Lytechinus pictus: one gene and its partner. The protein of the gene in region 2 interacts with the protein of the main gene of each other region in a biochemical or structural test. Links are inferred from orthologs where the notes say so. Each region holds a gene or a part of one and is shown on either strand. Other genes may lie near its edges.

Region 1 (11,106 bases), on a different chromosome or scaffold from region 2:
AGATTTGGATCCTATGGCATGCTGTTGCCTTAATAGTCTTGAGGACGCAATGATGATGACTTTTAAAATAATGAAATATACTTCTTCATCATTGACGTCTTGACACTCTTCCCATAGTCGCAGAAGAGAAGGACCAAAACAAAGATGGATTTCCGAGGGAAATCCATCTTTTGAAACGAAAATCACTTGAATTTTATGAATTTCATTGATTTTTACACCTTCCTACGCCTAATGCGTAGGAAGGTTTTAAAAATTATAATATAAAAATGCGAAAAAATTAAGGTTTCTTACCTAACTGATGCAGAGTAGACCCCTCGATCCACATGTAAACAACGTAAGTACAATAGCGTCGACCCTTGAACCGCTTATGTATGGCGTACTTCCGGCTAGCAATACCGTTTTGACGAACAATTTATAGATAAAAATGATTATTTCACAAATACTAAAATTTATTACTTGATTATAAATAATTATTAGTATTATACTAATTATCTATAATTACATGATAAATTTTAACATTTGCGAACGGCATCGCTAGCCGGAAGTACGTCATACATCAGTAGATGCGCACGGCCAATATTGGAGACTGTCTCCAATGTGGGAGATTATCTCCAATATCAGAGACTTTTGTAAAGAATTTGGGTATCCAATTTCAGAGACAGTCTCCAGTTTTGGAGTCCAATTTCCTTTGTTTACATTTGCTGCAAAAGGATTAACTTGGCGGCAAATCCTCATGAAAAATTACCCCTTTTCACCGTCTACTTTAAAAATTCACCGTCTACTTTTGTTTTGATAAGGATTTTTGTCAATCACACAATACAAATGTGCTTCTGACCTCAGTGAGACAAAATTTTGGGTGGAAAAAATCTTGCTTTTGTTGGTGTTGTTTCTTTTGTCCTTTTGCAAAGCAAGTCTCCAATGTGGGAGATTGTCTCCCCTATTGGAGAGAGTCTCCCATATTGGCCGTGCGCCATAAGCGGTTCAAGGGTCGACACTATTGTACTTACGTTGTTTACATGTGGATCGAGGGGTCTACTCGGCATCAGTTAGGTAAGAAACCTTAATTTTTTCACATTTTTATATTATAATATTTAAAACCTTCCTATGGCTACACATTAGGCGTAGGAAGGTGTAAAAATCAATGAAATTCATAAAATTCAAGTGATTTTTGTTTCAAAAGATGGATTTCCGAGGGAAATCCATCTTTGTTTTTTGGTCCTTCTCTTCTGCGACTATGGGAAGAGTGTCAAGACGTCAATGATGAAGAAGTATGGTAGGGGGTCCTAAAGGAGTAAAGCTGCGCGGGTCCTAAAGCTACGCACCACTCATCACGCATACAGTTTTTATGGCAAATGCGCACTCTGTGTGTGGAACTGTGACTGCAGAGTGACGAACGATTCCTATTCAATTTTTTTCTACAGAGGCTGCAGTAAATCTCTAAATGCAGAGAAACCAACAACTGTTTGGAATTTTGGAGTTATATTCGCTTAAATATCATTTTAACCTATAATAATAGGACCCCTTCTACATCGGGTGGCGAAATCAAGAGGTGTTCGGAAAACACGGCGGGATTTTCGTATTAGTGACTGTGAGTTTTGCGATATTTTCTTCTTGGACTTGGACTTGGTTAATGATCTAGAAATTATGTTTGCCACAAATTAGTGAAAGATATTTGTTGAAATATTAAAATTGGGATAGTTTTTATTGTTTGAAAACAAAGTGCGTAGCTTAAGTTTAGGTCCCTCCATCATATATTTCATTATTCTAAAAGTCATCATCATTGGTACGTCCTCAACTCGACTACATTGCCTCATGCGCATGAATTAAACGAGGCGAGCAGCTGGCGTAGCGGCGGCGGCTGGCGCTGGCGCAGCTGCGCAGCCAGGGCCGAGGGATGCCGAGTTCGAGAAGTTGACGGAGAATCAAACTTACCGTCTCATAATCGCTGTTTTCTTCTTCACTTTCGCTGCCACTGGCGCTGCTACTAGCACTACTCCCCATGTTGTCCCCAACAGGGTGCTTTAGAGAGAAGGCTACTAACTATACTGCAGATACTTTCTTTAAATCACCTCAATACAACATCCTCCAAAAATTCTGCATTCAGATTATATTATGACAAGGGCGCAGACATTTTGAATGACGTAATATTGTTCAGCTCGCGCTAGATCGTAGCGCGCGCAATCCAGCTTGAGTCCGGAGTGCGCTAGGCGGATCCAGGAGGGCGAGGGGCCGCCGCCACCGCCCCCCCCCCCCCCCCCCCCACTGATCTAGAGCTCAACTAACAGTTGGGCCGCCCCATGGGCCGCCCCCCGGGGGGCCTATTAACGGCGCAACAAAAAAATAAAAGAGGGGGGGGGAGAAACAGATATTGAAGGGTCATTAAGGAGAGGAGAATTGAAGGAAGAAGAAAAATATAAGAGGAGGAAGACGAGTACATAATATAGGTGAGGGCGGCCGGGCCGCGGGATCGAAGACTTGGAAAAAAAATTAATGTCAGTATGAAAAAAAGCGCTTCGTGCTCGCATTGCCAGTCATTTACTGATGAGATACATATAGGCGATCATAGGCTGAAATGGTGCTTAATAGCACCATTTCACGGTCATGCAAATAGGCCTGTTATAGATTGAGATAATCCTTTTCATGAAAATTCACGAGTTCTTAATTATGGAAGTTTAAAGTGCCATCCAGATAATCATCTCATCATGTCTACATCAAGAGGCGTCAATCCGGGAGTGGGGGGGGGGGGGGGCAGCGGGGTGATCGCCCCACCAGGGGGGGGCAAACATATTGTTTTGCCCCCCCCCCCATAATTCCAGATGTGCAAAAATAAAATCACATTGTAATGTTACATAGAAATCGGCAAGTGAGTTTGAAATACAAAAACTCGTTCTTTATATAAAATCGTGCTCAAATTGAATGTCCGCTTTTCAGATTGGAATATAAAAATATTCAGCTCGCGCTTCGCTCTCGCATGATTAAATAGGTGAATAATGTGCCGTTTTCACTTCTATATTAAACCCCAAAAGATCTTTTGTTGGATATATTAATTGTTCTTTATTAAAAACGTCCATTGAACTGTCAATTTTTTCAGATCGAAATATCAAAATTTTCAGCTTGCGCACTTCGCGCTCTTATCTATTGTTCTTTTAGATACCCATCTTAATCTATATTTAGAATATCGAGCTTTCAGCTCCGAATATAACAAAATTCTATCTCTCTCTCGGCACTCGCATTGATCTGTGTAGTGAGATATGTATCCTCCCCGAGTTATACTACAAACAGTCCTAAACAGGTACCTTTTCCTGTTTTTAGGTCAGTATACTAAAAAAATTCAGCCCGCATTCGCGCTCGCATTAATTTGTTGTTGAGATATGTACGTGTCTCTTTCTCATCATGAGACATATACTATATATATATATATATATATATAGGGCCTACAGTGCGTATTAAAAAAACGGGACAGATTTGAAAGGTCTATAAAATTTTTGTTATGATGTCTATATTTTGGTGTTAATAGGTGCTCTGGGGTGGTATTCTGAGATCCATTTTATCTCAGATAAAATAAAATATTTTATCTCCGTTAAAATCAGTGAGATAAAATACCCTTAAAATCTCTCCGAATTGGTATTCTGAGAGCAATTTTATCTTCATTTTATCTATGTAAGACACACCTACTTTTTAATCAATATCCAACTAGAAACGCGCTTTAGCTCTCTCGTGTCACTCTTAAACCAATTGAAATCCATTCCGCCAGGAGGTGTGGCAAAGGGGTGAGATTGCGTTAATTTATCGACTTCAAATACGCTTGCACTATACGCTTGCTCGTCTTTACAGATATTTCTTTTTAACAAAAAGGACAATACTCTCATTTTTTTTCGAAGTCTATATCACATCTTTTCAAGCAACATATCAAAGACAATATTAGTCAAGACAAGTCTTATGAAATACTTCTGATTGTACAGGAATAACGTTAAGGTGTTATTCTCAATAAATATATAATTTTTCTTCATTTTTATGTCAACATTTTAGAAATATTGGTGAAATCAACGTCGCGGAGATAAAATAGCCCCTACCCTCTTTTAAGTTTATTTTATTTTTTTCTTCAAAGTAACTTGGGCGCAAGCACATCATCCGCGTTGCAATACCCAGATACGCGATCGGTATCGTCTACGCAGGCACTGTTCTGATGCGTATCATCTATAGTTACGCAAGATAAATTTTTTATGCAAGATAAAATTGTAAATTTTATCTGAGAGATAAAATGTCATCTCAGAATACCAATTTCGTTTTAAGAGATAAAATAAAATATTTTAAAGATAAAATGACCTCAGAATACCGCCCCTGAAGTCTTATCTTTCAAATGCCATTAAAAAAAATTTAGTTTTGTTCATGCTTTAGCAAACACGGAATGTTTTTGTCTGGGGCTAAAAAAGGAGGCTTGCGCCAAAATGGCATAAAATGATAATGATGATCGGACTTCTCGCTAATCAGCAGATTATCTTTGCCATAATTTTCGAATTATGCCGTCAAAATTCATTTTCAAATCTGTTTATTTGCTTGAATTTGTCTGTTGTTTCTTTTTAATATGTTCTCTTCTAGCTTTAAATTTTCCTTCTTTAAGCAAAAAAAAAAAAATCAACCGAAGTATGGGAGAGTGTGTATTTTTTCAAATCCTTTCATTGTGTGCTACAAAGGTTATGGTGATTTTGAACAGTGGCATACAGATGGGCGGGGGCTCGGGGCGTCCCCCCCCCCCCCCAATAAAAAAAAGTGGAAAGGAAATAAAAGGAAAGATAGAAAGTGAAATATGATTTCTTTCCTGAATATTATGTCAAAATATATCACAAAATTTGATATTTTATTTAAAAAGTGGAAATTTTTGCCTGCTCGCTCACTACTTTTTTAAATACATTTCATCCGATCAGGGGCCCGTTGCAGAAAGAGTTGCAATCAATTGCAACTCGAAAAATCATGCGTAACTTGATTTTCAACCAATCATCAGCGCACATTTGGGACTTGCGATTGATTTTTTGACTTGCGTTTAAACGCAACTCTTTCTGCAACGGACCCCTGCCATTATAGATATCTATAGCTCCTTCAAAATTGACTAAATACACCATTGCCATTGAAAGACGTGAATCCTTTCCTGTTTGTCGGCGTGAATCCTTTCCCGTTTGTCGGCCTGTCAAGCGCATAATTAAACTTGGTCTAAAAAATCCCTTGAAAATAGGATTCATGTTATTTAAAGGTACCATAACATAATTTGTTTCTCATAATAAAATACGATTTGAATAATTACAAGTTCTCCCAATTATAATGCAATCTTCATGCTTGGATTGACAAAAAGTCTTCTTTTCTTACTTATGAAGGAAATTCAAATGTTAAAGAAGTTTCAATGAAAAAAAACCAAAATAATTCAAGTAAATAAGTAAATTTGTAAATGAAATTTGACAGCATATTCGAAAATCATGGCAAAGATAATGAAAAGGTTAAGAGGAAGTCTGATAATTAGCAAGAAGTCTATCATGCAAATTTCTCATTTCTGCCATTTTGGCGCAAGCCTCTCTTTGAACCCCCGACTAAAACGTCCCGTGTTCGCTAAAGCATGACATTTTTTTTTTTTTGGGGGGGGGGCATATTTCAAAGATTGGATTTCAGAGCATCTATTAACATCAAAATATAGATATCATAATTTGAAACAAATTTTTTTATAGACTTTTCAAAACTGTCCCGTTTTTTTTATACGCACTGTATATATAATTATATATATATCATATATTTACATATATACAAATATATGATATATATATATATATACATATATATATATGTATATATGTATATATGTATATATATATATATATATATATATATATATAATATATATATAATATATATATATATATATATATATATATATTTATATATATAAAGAAGACTTATAATATATATATATATATATACCTGAAAAGTGACATCACTCTTCTTCTTCTTCTTCCTCCTCCTCCTACGCTATTTGTTTGTTTCTTCTATTTTCTTTGTTCGTGTTTTTTCCTGGTATGTTTTGTTTCGGTTTCTTATTATGCTACGTACTTTCTGGGTCCTTTTTGAGGACGGAAAGTTCTCGGTAATTTTCGCTTTTATAAATTTTGAGTTCACGGGTACAGGTACGAGGTAGTGCGCGCTGATCGGGCCGCCACGCGCGCAACATGCACACGATTTTAACTTCCGCAAATTACGTAGGTGATCAACACGGTACGGGATCGGGAAACACCGAGAAGTTTCGCAACAAAGTTACAAAAAAACGACTCAGAAACAATAAGGCATGATAAAGTTTCTTCAAGTGGGACCTGTATAGATTCTTCACATTTTGGAAAACAGCAATCGAAGGACTAATGTTACGTTGACGTTCGTTTTGAAGACGTTGAGAGTAGGAATCGCACACTGCCTAGGCGTGTGTACAAACTCATGAACTTATTCTTGTGGTTCTTGTGTTGTGTGGAGTCTCACTCAGCGCATAGAGAAGAGTGTGTAGATTTAGTGCGTGTGCAGCATTGCCATTGGCAGACAAGACAGGCTGCTGTCAGTGTCAGACTGTTGTGAGAGTTTTTTTGTTGTTGGCAGATTAACCTGCAATAAATAGGATCAGTCTGTACGGTATAACATGAACATTCATTGAGCAGGATTTATTGGAAAGTATGGAGTACGTGGCACAATTTGACTTTACGCCATCAAAGGATGATCAGGATGAACTTGGCTTCAAGAAAGGCGAAGTATTGAAGGTAGACCTAACATTGCAAGTTAGATCAGGATTCAGGGCAGCGGTAATCCTAAAGTAATGTGGTTTCACACCGGCTGACTTCGAGCAAATTTCCCCACCAGAAATTGATTGGCCTTGTAATACAATGGTTAGCAATTAATCGCTAAATGAAATGGCCTATCACGATCAGTGTTGCACGTGAATTTTGTTCAGTTGGCTGACAAGGAACCATTCAGAATTGTTCTTTCATATTAGCAATTAATCGCTAAGATTTGTGTTACGGGGCCCTGGATCGGAATTGACCTGTTTCTAAGGCTGTTTCAATCTATTTGGCATTGAAGAAGTGCATTATACAGTGTGAAAGGAAGTCCAGTGGATAGATGTAGACAAGTTAGACTGAGTGATATATCCGCTGTTTCTGAGGATTTTTTAAAAACATTTCAGATTTTTTTCCTACTACTAAGTACTAGGGCTACACAGACGGATGTCGGCCATAGGGCTCATAATGTATGTTCGACCGATGCTAACTACAGTATCTATGGAAAAAAGGGTTCGCTTCCGCATCCTCTTCGATTACTCCTTGGCCTGGGCTGGTTGTCAATGTCTTTAATATTTAACAACACTTTCTATGCCACTACATGTATTTCTAGGTGTGATACGGGATGTGTTTCAAAATATGTTTCAAGAAGAGGAAAGATGGGTCTTGTGTCCTTTTAGCTGCTACCAGGAGTAATTTTCCTGTTATTTCATAGCAATTTTCTCCACATTTTTTTTTCTACACAAAAGGTGTTTAGCAGATACAGTACAGAACATAGTTGGTGTCTTTTCTCTTATGACCAAAAATACTAAGAGAAAAGTCTGTAACTAATTTATTTACAGTGATGTAAAAATCTGCAGTCTTTAGATAAAGGTCAAGTCCACTCCAGAAAAATGTCAATTTTGATAAAAAGAGAAAAATCAAACTAGCATAATGCTGAAATTTCCATCAAATCGGATGTAAAATGACAAAGTTATGACATTTTATAATTTTGTTTACATGTATTTTTCACAAAACAGTAGGCCTACAACTCGGTGTCATGCAAATTAGACAATCGATGATGTCCCTCACTATTTCTTTTGGTATTTATTTCTTGAATTATACATTATTTCATTTTTGTATCACCTGCATAGCATAGTGAGACTACAGGCAACGCTTTTCTGAGGGCGGCGGTGACGTCAACACCAAATCTTAACCGAAGATTAAATTTTTGAAAGGACAGCATAAGTTAGAAAATATATGGACCTAGTTCATGAAACTTGGACATAAAGTTAATCAAGTATTACTGAACATCCTGCCTGAGTTTCAAGTCACATGACCAAGGGCAAAGGTCATTTAGGGTCAATGAACTTTGGCCAAGTTGGGGTATCTGTTGAATTACCATCATAACTTTGAATGTTTATGGATCTGATTTCTGATTCATGAAACTTGGACATTAGAGTAATCAAATATCACTGAGCATCCTGTGCGAGTTTCAGGTCACATGATTAAGGTCAAATGTCATTTAAAGCTAAATGAACGTAGTTGCAGTCAAACACTGATTTTGTGAGAAAGTCTGTAAAACCAAGGTAAAGTATTGATATATCATCGTGGATCTAGATCTGGTACAGTTACATAAACTGAATTTTGTGAAATCATAATATCTAGCTAAAAAACTATCACACTGAAGATCGCCAACACAGATAGGCACACGTGGGACAGTGTATTATTATTGCTGGAATAAAGACCCGACGGAAGTGACCGAATCCGCACTTATTTTGCTTATTTCTCAGCAATTACACAATTTCTTCAAGAATCCTTTGGCACATATTTTTTATTCATACAAACAGACACTTTGGTGATCATTGTATTAAATTCTGTAAAAAGTCATTTTGAGATCATTCCCAAAACTGGAATTTACCTTTAAGGTCAATGAACTTTGGCCAAGTTGGGGGTATTTGTTGAATTACCATCATAACTTTGAAAGTTTATTGGTCTAGTTCTTAAAACCTGGACATAAGAGTAATCAAGTATCACTAAACATCCTGTGCGAATTTCAGGTCACATGACCAAGGTCGAAGGTCAATGAACTTCGGCCATGTTGGGGGTATTTGTTGAATTACCATCATAAACTCTGTAAGTGTATGGATCTAGTTCATAAAACATAAGAGTAATCAAGTATCACTGAGCATCTCCTTTGAGTTTCAGGTCACATGACCAAATTCAAAGGTCATTGAACTTTGGCCATTTTGGAGGTAATTATTAGATTCCTGTTATAACTTTCAGTTTATAGATATACATGTAGTTTATAAATATGGATATCAAGTATCACTGACAAGTCGTAGGTCGCACGATCAAGGTCAAATGTCATTTATTGTAAATGAATGTAGTATTGTATCATATGAATGGTGTTTTTTGTGAATAATAGTAGTTTTCGAAGTCAGCACTGCTGCTATATTGAATCATGTGATGCAGGTGAGACTGCCAGAGATGCTCCACTTGTTTACAGATTTGACAATTATGACCAACTTGACTGAACCAAACATGTATAGCATTACAATTAGAAAATATATTTAATATATAATAAAATACAAAATAAATAAGGTAGTGAGTGGATGACGTCATCACTATCATTTGCATACTGACCAGGATGTATATATGGTAACTGTATTGTGAAATTAAGTGAAACTTCCAAATATCTTAACTCTCATATTTTACATCCGATTTTGATGAAACTTTCAGTGTTATGCTTGTTGGATTTTTCACTTTTTATTCAAATTAACTTTTTGTTGGGGTGGACTTATCCTTAAAAAAAATGTGGAGCAAATTGCACTGCAATTACAGGAAAAGTAATCAAATTTGATAAGTAAAATATTTCCCTATAGGCCTACTACAAAAATAATTTATCTTGAATGTTTTTCTTTTTTCAGGTAACAAAGAGAGAAGACAGGCATTGGTTGTTTGCTCACATTGGACCAAAGAAAGGATTAGTGCCAGAAAATTATCTTAAACCTGAAGAACACAAGTAAGTCATGTGTTTATTTGTTTATGAAGCTTGAACATGTCCAATGGATCTGTCATGTGACATCAGCTTGCAGTTACAGGACTTAATATCAACATGGATGGGCGCACTATGTATGCATTTTAGACAAATTGTCTAAAAGGAGACCTCCCCCCGAAAACAGTGCTTTAAACAGCTTATAAGTATTAAATGTGTGTATATTTGTTTGATATGACAGTAATATTGAAATGTTGTGACATTAGAAATTGCATTTGAAATTGATGTCATCAATATTTTGGTCTACAAGATATATGTCTTAAGCATTTATAAGGTAAAATCCAGACATCCCCATCCAATTCATAGTAGGGTCATAAAAATATCAATTGTAACTTGGAGCCGCCACCCCCCCCCCCCTATCCATTGCAGCTTTTTATTTGAAGTCTTGTACTACCTGTATAGTATTAGTTAGTATGTGAACGTTATGGACATATATGGGAATATTTATTGGGGAAGATGTTAGTATGTCATGACTTGACAGTTAGTGAAAGTCAAGTATCTATATCAGATCTACACATGTACATACATGTATTTCCAATAAACCCGCATAGGTCTGTACATATCTCCAAAAAGCACTCGTACATGTACGTACATCGTCATACATGTAGTTCTGTCCTTTGTCTACATACATACCTACATGTATCTCCACAAAACCCAGAGGTCTTTCATCTTTGTTCTCATACCATTGATATTCTTTCTCTTTCTTTGTTGCCTTTCTTTGGCTAAAACAGATGGTATAATGGTGGACTCACGAGAAAAATGGCAGAGGAGAAACTTATGGACTTGGAAGATGGTGCCTTTTTGGTGAGAGATTCAGAAAGCACTCCTGGTAAAGGAAACTTCTCCCTCTCTGTCAAGTAAGTTTATTTTGTGCTCAATATACATTTTTGTCTGACCTGCATAGCAGAGTAAGACTATAGGCGCCGCTTTTCCGACGGCGGTGGCGTCAACATCAAATCTTAACCGAAGGTTAACACATGACCAAGGTCAAAGGTCATTTAGGGTCAATGAACTTAGACCATGTTGGGGGAATCAACATCAAAATCTTAACCTAAGGTTAAGTTTTTGAAATGTCATCATAACTTAGAAAATATATGGAGCTAGTTCATGAAACTTGGCCATAAGGGTAATCAAATATCACTGAACATCCTGCCTGAGTTTCAAGTCACATGACTAAGGTCAAAGGTCATTTAGGGTCAATGAACTTTGGCCAAGTTGGGGGTATTTGTTGAATTACCATGAAAAACTTTAAAAGTTTATGTATCTGATTCA
Region 2 (10,976 bases):
ACTGGATGATATGTGATGAGCTGTCTCCACGTTACTTCTGACGTAGGAGAGAGAGATAGATAAATGGAGGGCAGAGGAGATACAGAGAAAGAAAGACAGAGGGAGATTGAGGAAGACTGGATGATATATGATGAGCAGTCTCCACGTTACTTCTGACGTAGGAGAGAGAGATAGATAAATGGAGGGCAGAGGAGATACAGAGAGAGAAAGACAGAGGGAGATAGAAGCAGACTGGATATGTGATGAGCAGTCTCCACATTACTTCTGACGTAGGAGAGAGAGAGGGAGAGACAGATGGAGGGCAGAGGAGATACAGAGAAAGAAAGAAAGAGGGAGACTGGATAATATGTGATGAGCAGTCTCCACGTTACTTCTGATGTAGGAGAGAGAGAGAGAGATGGAGGGCAGAGGAGATACAGAGAAAGAAAGACAGGGAGACTGGATGATATGTGATGAGCAGTCTCCATGTTACTTCTGACATAGGAGAGAGAGATAGATAAATGGAGGGCAGAGGAGATACATAGAAAGAAAGACAGAGGGAGACTGGATGATACATGTATGTGATGAGCAGTCTCCATGTTACTTCTGACGTAGGAGAGAGAGAGAGAGAGAGATGGAGGGCAGAGGAGATACAGAGAAAGAACGAGATAGAGGCAGACTGGATGATATGTGATGAGCAATCTTCTTCTTCTCATTACTACTGGCACACATCCAATATCTTGCATACTACATGTAAATGTGTAGCATGTATGTATGTATGGGATGATGAAGCCGCGACGGCAATAGATTGATTGGAGTGAGATTCACTCCCAGGGATGCTGCCCGGAGCCAGGGGCTAGTTTCAGTTTCTTTCCCAGAAACCATAGTAAAATCCCTAAACAAAGAAAACGACACTCAAATTTCATGCGAAAGGGCAGGAGGGGACGCACTTGTAGTATGGCAGGCTCGCTGGTCGAGAGACAGCAGAATATCAAACTGCTTGCTTGTGCTAGATCTCGCCTCAGTGGTGTATCAGTTGTGAATGAAGTGAGTTTTAGTGGGTACAGGTGGTTTAAGGTTTTATAGAAAAGTTCTACAAGGGGCTTCACTCTGACTATTGGTTTGTTATATTATGAGAGCAGGAAAATAATGATCAAAATAATAAAATTACAAACTGCCAATGGCGGCATAAATACAAAGTTTAATCCCAGAATCATGAACATTAATTGCCATCAGTTAATGTCTGCAAAGAGGAATTACAAATTTATTGCCAATATTCTTACCCTATTCAAAGAGGAAAATTAGCTTTGACCTAAATATATACATGAAAAACAAGAGTCAAACATATTTCATTGGAACCATTGCCATGATATTCAATTTCTAAGCAAACTTTGGGCCATGAAATGTATAGATGAAAAAATCACAATCAATTTGTAAAATCAAAAAATACAAAATTATATATACTACTTTGTATGATAATGGTAATTCTAGCAGAAATAACTCAAAGAGCAGCTTTTTGATTTGGTTGGGTATCATTTTCAATCCTGATGAAATGAAAATGTGCAAAAACAAAATTGTGTTTTATGAACAAAATTAATCATCAACAAAACCAAAACGTTCTTTAAATGCAACTCCATCTTTCATATCTCTTGAATGGACTAAGGTATTTAATACTCTCAAGGAAATGAAGAACAGAAATTAATTCAAATTGATTTCACAAACGCTCTGATATGGAAAAAAGGTAGTTACACTGTCAGCCACAACACTGTTCTCCAAGAAGGCGAGAGTACAATTCAAACATTTGGTAAGAAAGGGAAAACCCCTACATTTCTCTCCAATCTAGTAGCTGCCCTGGAATTTCTCTAATTACGTATTCTACATTCTGGTCAGCAAAACATTCTGCTCATTTTTGTGCTATTGATACAGATTATGTAACATTGTAGATAATGCTACAACAGAATTCATAACAAAATATGTATTACAAAGGTTAGAGAGATCAATTTATCTAGTTAATCTATTTCAAACACCCTTCTAACTGTTCTAAGCTTAGATTAGAAAAGCTTTCTTAAAGACCTGGGGGGTGTTTCACAAAGACAAAGATTTAAGTATGACTTAAATCGCTAACGCGTATCTGAAATGCAACGCGCAATGTAATTGATCAATATGCAGTAGTGCACGTCCTCTTCGCATGATCTGACCAATGCGGTCATGCCTTTTCAAATGCCGCAACTAGGCATTTAAGTGCGACTCTAAGTCATACTTAAATCTTTGTGAAACACCCCCTGGGGGCATTTCATGAAACAAATAGTGATTTTTACTAACTATTGTTATAAGCTACTATAAACCTTTCTATCTGATTGGCTGAAAGCAAAGTAATCGACAAAAATCACAGAAAAAACTTTTCATGAATGTTCCCAGCATAATTACAATCAAGTAGGTAATGTTCCTATCGAGATGCAGAGCAAAGTACATTTAACAATTTTCTTCTTTCAGAATAAAAATGAATTTGTTATTAGTGCAGAACTTTGACCCATTAAAAAAAAATTCATGCTCGATCATTTATTCTTATCACGGTGGGGGAAATGATATGTGCAAAATTGTGCATATACTTTAATCTGGGGGTACAAAAATAAGTCAGTTATAATACTTAGACCCATGCCACAACCCCACATGGACTTTAATTATAAAGGAATTTTACCACAAATGTTCATCTTATTAACAGTGAGCACATAATGTGGGGTTTAGGAGAGTAAGAAAGGAAGAAGTGAAGCAATGTGATGATTCATCAAGTTTTTTAAAGAGAAAGACGATGTCTTGAACATGTAGGAAGATTTGTCCTTTCCTTATATTTCTGAAAAATTATCATGCTACCCCATTATATCATTACATGGAGCCAACAATATGACATACTGAATCCACATTAATATTTTCTGAAAATATACATTTACTGAAAAATATCAATTTCATATTGATAATCTTTATAATTTACTCTTTATTTCATAGAGTAATTTCATTCCTTTTTAGTCATTACAATATACAAACACAAACCTCCCCAATTAATAACCAAGGTTAAGAAAAAATGTTTCCAGGAAATTCAGACATTCCAAAACAAGCAGTGAATTTTTAGCTTTGCAAAATACCTGGAGCGTAGCATGCAATTATTGCAGGATATTTTCTCAATACAAACGATGTGTCTGTCCTCGCAAGTGCAAATACATGCAAATGTACTTCTCTTTATTAATAATCTCTTCTGCAAATATGAAAGATTACTTAACTCTAAATATTTTTATTAATATTATTCTTAATCATTCTACATGTTTGACTACTGTCTAGACAAGGGTTTATGCTTTTTTTTTAATATCTCTATTAAAAAAGTTGAATATTGGTTTTGGGGTGGAGGTTGAAACAAACAGGTAAAATATAACTGAAAATTAATAAGCAAATGGACAATCCATTCTCAAGTTGTTCAGTTGACAATTAAAAATGCTCCATAAGCAGGCCCTCACACCTCAGCAATCTTTAGGAAATAGAATAACTTATTAAATAGAAATGTACAAATATCAGCATGGTTACTATGATACAAGTTCTGAGATTTTTCTGTCTGAGAAATGGTGGTAAATCACATGGTCATTCCTTAAAGCTGGTTTTTCTTTTCTAACCAAGTGATAGATGAGTGGAACAGTCTCCCAGAAGATGTAGTTACTGCTTGTTCAGTGATTGCATTTAATAGACTGGATAAGCATTGGGAGAAGATTGCCTATGATTTTGAGTCATTGTTGTGTGTTTTTCATGGAATTTTTTGCTGTCTACAATACCCCTGCCACCCCCCCCCCCTGCCAACACAAGTAGTGCATCTAATTTTGTCTGAAGGAGAGCAGCAATAGACATCCTACTTCGATCGTTGAACGGGCTTAGTCCTACAACATCGTTGGAGTGAACTAAACTAGTCTACAGTATATGGTGAATAAATCTTTACTTTCAAATACATACTTGTATGAATTATTTTTGTGGGGCAGCTAAACATTCACTGATACATTTCTAATTTATGAGCAATTTACTGAAAAATTAAAACAATTACAAAAAATTAATACATGAGGTATATCTGCAAGAAGTATTTGTGCGAAATTCTTTACCAAAAAAAAAGAGCGAACCCTGTTATCAGCAACCAAAATGAAGACAATTGAATTCAGATCAGTGATGCAACATAACATGAGAGCTCCCCACAAAGGAAGCCCCTGACTAGCAAATTTGGTTTGATAATTTTTGATTACCTACAAATAAAATTAATAACTTCCTAATCTTTTATCGAATTATGCTCACATTCTGTTTCTCCTATTGTCTGATTTATCACAGGCAGCATGATACTAAGAGAGACTTCCCTCAAATTAAAAGTGATAAAGTCTGCTTGCTACTTGAATTATAGTAGGCAGACCTCATACGGACGGACGGACGTACAGTAATCTTCAGAATCAGCATTAATACTTCTTACCACACTGGAGTAAGAACAGGTGCACAAAAATACTTTCTGAAGAAATTGACCCACCCCAAATATATACATGAATATATTAATGTATATATTTTTCAAACTAGTGCTATCTTCTATGACATAGCTACAACAATTTCAATGGAAGGGATTCAAAGTGAAAGAAAAATGGAAGACAATTGAAAATGTATTTTTGTTAATCATCATTATACATATTTGATTTCAAGGAATATCCCTAACAATTCAATCACTCCTCGGTAGTGTTTCCTGAAGCAAATAGTCAAGAATTTTCACTGACTAATTTGTTCGAAGCCAATCAGATGCAAGGATTTCAGTAGCTTTTAACAATTTAAGTGAAAATCACTAACTCTTTGTTTCATGAAATGCTCCTTTGGGTATATCTGCACGAAAACCCAAACTCACCTTCAAGAGCTGGTGGATCTTATCCACCGGGAGGACAAGGGGTGCCTTCTTGCGCCCCTTCTCCAGAGCCAGCCGGGCGTCGTTGATGGCCCACTGGTCGATGGGGCGAGGGAAGGTCTTCTGGACCCTGTCCTCGATGTCGTGGACGTTGTGGGGCTGGACGCTGCACAGCATGTTGAGGAGGCAGATGATGAGGCTTTCGATGTATTCCAGGGAGTCCTCATCGGCCTGCAGAGTGGAGTGGACCTGCTGCTGCACCTGTACAGAGGGTGGGAGGAGACAGCGGAAGAGAGATTATTTTATTTATTATTTTATTTTTTTTACCGTGGTCACCCTTTCAGTTATGAAAAGTGCTAAACAGTCCCTTTATCACAAAGTAAAACACGTCAAACATCAATTCGTTAAGTACACTAATAACAAAAAATTAACGAAGCATAATACTGAAATGAGAGAAATGAAGACTTAAATACTATTTAACAAATATTCTATGTGGGGGTAATCAAATTGCAATAATTTGAAACAAATTAAGTAGATTTAACTAGTGGAACGCCTCTGGCAGTCTCGCCTGCATTACACGTTTTGATATAGCAGCAGTGCTGACTTTAAAAACAGCTATTGAATAATTATTCAAAAAAAAAACATTCATATGATAATAAAACATTATGTCCATTGACCCAAAATGGCCTTGTGACCTGAAACGTGCACAGGATACTCTGGGATACATGGTTGCTCTTATTTCAAAGTTTCATGAACTAGATCCATAAACTTTTAAAGTTACAATGACAATTCCACAAATACCCCAAATATAACCAAAGTTTGTTGACCCTAATTGACCTTTAACCTTGGCCATGTGACCTGAAACCTGCACAGGACCTTTAGGGATACTTGATTACCCTTATGTCCAAGTTTCAATAACTAGGTCCATATACTTTCTAAGTTACGATGACATGGTTAAGATTCCAATGTTGACCAACGCCGCCACCGCCATCGGAAAAGCGGCGCCTATAGTCTCACTCTGCTATACAGGCGAGACAAAAATCACGATTGAAAGTGAGAGAGATGGGGAGAGGGTGTGCTGTTAACTGAATTCTAAGACTAGAGCATGAACTTTTTTTCTTAACCATAAATTTCCTACATGAATTTAAACAATACCAGCAATGAACGTAATTTCTAGCTATTTGTTGTTAATGTACAATTTAAAAAAAACCATGAAATGTGGAGGTACCATACATGACTTCATGTATAAATCAAATAAATAATAGTGTTCTATAGCATTCACCTGCCAATCCATTTCGAAATCATTTTATGACAATACCACACCATGGAATTAATAACAATAAAGAGTACTGGGGCCCGTCTTACAAAGAGTTGTGATTGATCCGATCAACCGTAACTATGGAAAGCCAGCAAAGTCAACATATAAAATGCATGTTTGTTCAAAAAAAATTCTAGTAATGAATGTATATTCGTAAATTGATTGATTTCTTGACAATTTGGTGTGTTCTCCCTTGTTTAAAAAGGACATTTTGCAAATTTCCTGTAGAAAAAATTATGACACTGGTGGATTTCCATAAAGTTACGATTGATTGGATCAATCACAACTCTTTTTTTGGAGGGGGCCCTGGCATTACAACCAAATACAAAGCCAAATTCAGTTTGACTACATTTGAGTGACTTTACATTTGCATAGCAATTTAATATCAATAACCAATGAAAATCATCGATTGTTTGGGTCACATACATATAAAAGCAAATGGTTGTAACTATTGCATAATGTAATTTTTAGGATTTGAGACAAATTAATATACTATGTATTTAATATTCATAGACCTAGTTTACATACATACAAGAGAACTTTTGCTGAGCTAGCATCATGATCATTTTTAGATGGTGCATGCGATCTACAAATCTTCATTATTATTAATATCATCATTAATTGATGGCCATAATTTCTTACTTTTATTTTAGTATTCATACAAATTCTTGCAAATTGCAATATTGCACATTTTTCATGACATCAGACACACAGCATATATACATACATGTACATAACAAAAAAAATATTGGACGAGCCTTGTAAATAATCTTCAATAACAAGATTCCATGCATATTTTCACAGTTCTCTAAACTTGAGCTTGAATCCAATTACCGGTAATACAAATATTTGGGCAAAATCAAATGTAACAATTGATGTGAATGACAATTTAGACTCTTTGTTGAAAGAGCATAAAGACATTCTAGTCGAGAACTAGTCTACAAATGTAGACCCACATCTGCAGTGTGTGTACCACAGCTGATTCAAGGAGTCTGCATAGCAGACTAGGTCTACTGTGGCTGCAGATGGCTCACTTTGCTCGTCCTTTCAGGCTGGTTTGCGAAGCAAACCAGCAGCAGCGCGCTTCGCGCACTGAGATCCCACCTCACGAGCCATTCAGAGTCTGCATAGCAGACTAGTCGAGAACAGGGACTCCCTTCACACTAGTAGAGTAGTGTACTTTATAGAATATCAAGAAGTTTAGAGTAATGTACAGTAAATATGCAAGTAAAATATTGAAAATAGTAGTAGAAATCTAGGTAAAATAAATAGATGTGATGTGATGATGACCAATGAGTCATAATGGTACTTTATCAGTCAGAGCTTGCTCAATTTAAGGATTCTACCAGGGGAGTGTTTCATGAAACAAAGTCATGTTCACTTACAACTGCTATAAGCTACTGAAATCCTTGCATCTGATTGGTTCAGAACATATAGTCAGTGGATATTGGCATTTTGTACTCCTTGAGATGGCAATGTATTGAACATCCTAAATATTTACTGAAACATCCTGCTGCTACATGTAGTTAACTCTTGATTGCAAACAGAGATGAAGCCCAAGAAATATATGGTTTCCAGTTTCTTCATTTAAAAAACAATCTTGATGTTGTTTATTAATTGCTGGGCCAGAAATAGCAGGGTAATTTGAAAATTTTGACTGGTGAAGCCTTAGGTGGTTTCAGACTGCCTCGAAGTTCGCCAGTTCCAGGTATTCTCTGATCGGGAAATTTACCCCGATCAGAAAATACCAGGTATTTTGGCGGTGTGAAAGCAAACTACGCGTAATATCCCCGAAAGAAAATACCCGATAAATAGTAGGTACTTGGCGAAATTACGAGAACTTTCGCGGGGATTTTTCCAAGGTCGTGGGTATTTTGGCGGTCTGAAAGCAAATTACGGGAACTTTTAGCCCAGCATGTCGTTGGGTGCGGCGCCGTGCATGGGTTGCTGCTGGGCTAGTGATTTTGAATTTTGCGCCTTGCTGCTTATCAGACCATACTGCGCATGCTCGTAACTTCAGGAACTTATCCTGAAGGGTATGTTTCAGGGCGGTGTGAATGCAGGAATAATTAATGGGTATTTTTCAGCCTAAAAAAGTTCTCGTAATTTAACGGGGATTCTTGTGATTGAGGCGGTTTGAAACCACCTCTTGTGACCATATTCATTGCCTTAAAAAGTCCACCCACTGATTACTTCACCAAGAGAGTTATGATACATGTATGCCTAGTAGAAAGCCCTGGTAATCCAGGCAATGAATTCATTTGAAACGGCAAGGACATCCACAAGTTTCACAAGGCCATGGTCATTCTCGGAATCGAATAGGGCAGTGCCACAGTCACACCGGTGAAACCGACTCCGCATTGACCGAAGCCATTGCATGCATCCCTAATAGCAAGTCATCTGTCAGTTTGGGGTGGTTTCATCATGTGAATGTGCCATTAGCTTGTGCATGTAGTAGGAGGTAAAGGACAGGGCCCTGTTTCATAAAACTTGTAACACAAATAACAAATTTGCAATAACAGTTTCAAGCTACCGAAATCGATCAATCTGATTGGCAGATAGTAAACTTGTTAAGGAAGTTGTACATTTGTTATTTAATATAACTTGTCTTTATGAAACGGGACACAGGAGTAGTTTCACTTATTCTGAGCAGGCCAGAAGACTAGTTCCTGTTGCAATATGGAAATATTTAGGTCGTTTCCTCCTGGTTTATGGGACCTGGTTTTCGTTGCAAAAGGTGAAAACTTTCTTGTTATGGTAACTTTGCCATAAGTGGTATCTACCATTGGAAACACTGATTTTTTTTATTGGATGCCAAGTCCCGTTTCCATGGTAAAAACCATCACAGTAAATGTAACTTTGTTTAAAGCAGGGCCCTGGACCTTACTCCAATGAGGAAGATCTCAGACGATTTTATTCTACATTGTAGATGTGTAATACTCGTTAACTTTCTATCGAGCATTGGTAGTCACTGAATGACTTAAATCTTTGCTCACTCTTACCAATATGTATGTAAGCCTATTGGAAAACTGGTTGAATTTCAAGCGTGCATGTCTAGCCACAAACTATAGCATTTCGTCATACAATGTCCTAATTCTGTGCATGCGCTTGTCGCATTGCCCAGTTACTAAAACGAGTCATTACGCAATTAATTCATACAGTGGTTTGTACGAATGGTGTGAAAGCGCTGATAGTACCAGTCTGCGAAGCCTCCGTTGCGTGCTCGTTCTTTTACCAGTCTCCTACCCTACAGGTATAAACCATTGTTTATTGTTGATCCAGCGATCATAAATCATTACACACAATCATTTCTGTCTGCCTTTGCTCAAAGGCTTGGTGGGATTAGAGGAGTCCAAACTATCAATTATATCATTCAAGTATTCTACCCCCTTTGCCATCACCCAAACAGAAACTAGGCCAAGTTGCAACAAGCATTATCATGAGAGTTCTATCATATTGTCTACAACACTGGTATACGGCCTGTCTGTTTTTAAAGGTAATGGTAATATGTCCTTACTGCATGCTCTACACACATGTACTACATATGATCACATGATGCTAATAATATCACATGTTTGGTTATCGGTCGAAGAATTGGGTCCAGCCAAAATATGCTTTAGGTTTAAGTGCTGTTGTACATGTATACCAAACCTTTCTTCTGAAACTATCTTTCACAAGATATGGGTCTGTTTTGGCAGAATTAGGGTTATAATATATGTATCATACAATAGCGTAATACAGATTTTCTGTTGTCATACATGTCACTGATTTTACCACAATCAAGCAAAATGACCAAGTGTTTATTATGAATAAACAAAGGAAGCAAATATATATATATATATATATATATATATTACTTTTAGGTATTTCCCAGGTATTTCCAAGTATTCCTGGATATTTCTTCATATATTGTATTTCCTCAGTATGGTAATTTTCCAGTACAGCCAAGTGCCATCTTTCTTCATTATTCACAATAGGCTATAATAAATATTTGTTTATATTCTAAACTCCCAATCAATTCATTGTATATTCATTGCCTACTACATCACTTTTGTTATCATTTTCATGTCAACTTTGGAATGAAATTGATTTATATATTTACCATTATAATCATTCATTATATAACTATTATAGTTGTTATGATTATCACTAGTATCACCCCCACCCTCATTAATAAAATAATCATCACAATCTTTTATGACATCTGGGTGAATTCCAATTCATCTTTCAGATTGTTATCCAAAAACAAAAAAAGAGTAACCCATATTTGTTAAGGTCAGGTGGGAGCCAATGGGTGAATAATAAGTGAATTTCTAATGACCTGTCTCCTACACTTTGTCTGGTGATATGGTGAGGAGAGCTCGTGTCTACCTTGGGTCTATAAGCCTACGATACCCTGGATCGGCTGGTCAGTAGACAGACAAACCTGTTTCTATTCTCGGCTGTTTTGCTGTCTGCCGCTTCCCTGGGAGAAGTCACCCAGACTGATTTCATTACCCATCACTTCACAACACAAACTGAATCCACAAGAAAACATCTCTGGCTATTGGGGTGTCTTTTTTTCCCTCAAATATTCTGGTTTTAAAATGTGGGTGAACAAAAGATGGCTTTAAAAATAAAGCACCAATTATATCATATGATATTTAAAAGCTTTAAAAAAGCTGATTACAGACCCCCCCCCCCCAAAAAAAATGAATAAAAATAAATAAATATTGTGTTTATGGGTTTGAATAATAAATAAGAAATTGCATGATTGCAGAATAGAGAATACACTTG

The links. The genes of interacting proteins can lie anywhere in the genome.
Region 1: the proteins of son of sevenless homolog 2-like (region 2) and growth factor receptor-bound protein 2-like interact in a test that uses a peptide from one of them, tested with the Drosophila melanogaster proteins (2 studies listed by BioGRID, with this or other methods). The link is inferred for Lytechinus pictus from reciprocal best matches to the Drosophila melanogaster genes Sos and drk.

Annotation. Positions count from the first base shown.
Region 1 is NC_087254.1:17,165,265-17,176,370, forward strand, and holds the start of growth factor receptor-bound protein 2-like, read left to right. Parts: upstream 1-6,217; 5' UTR 6,218-6,698; coding exon 6,699-6,782; intron 6,783-9,706; coding exon 9,707-9,801; intron 9,802-10,565; coding exon 10,566-10,691; intron 10,692-11,106.
Region 2 is NC_087251.1:44,328,168-44,339,143, forward strand, and holds the start of son of sevenless homolog 2-like, read right to left. Parts: upstream 5,140-10,976; 5' UTR 5,060-5,139; coding exon 4,886-5,059; intron 1-4,885. UniProt on the Drosophila melanogaster protein: Promotes the exchange of Ras-bound GDP by GTP. Functions in signaling pathways initiated by the sevenless and epidermal growth factor receptor tyrosine kinases; implies a role for the ras pathway in neuronal development.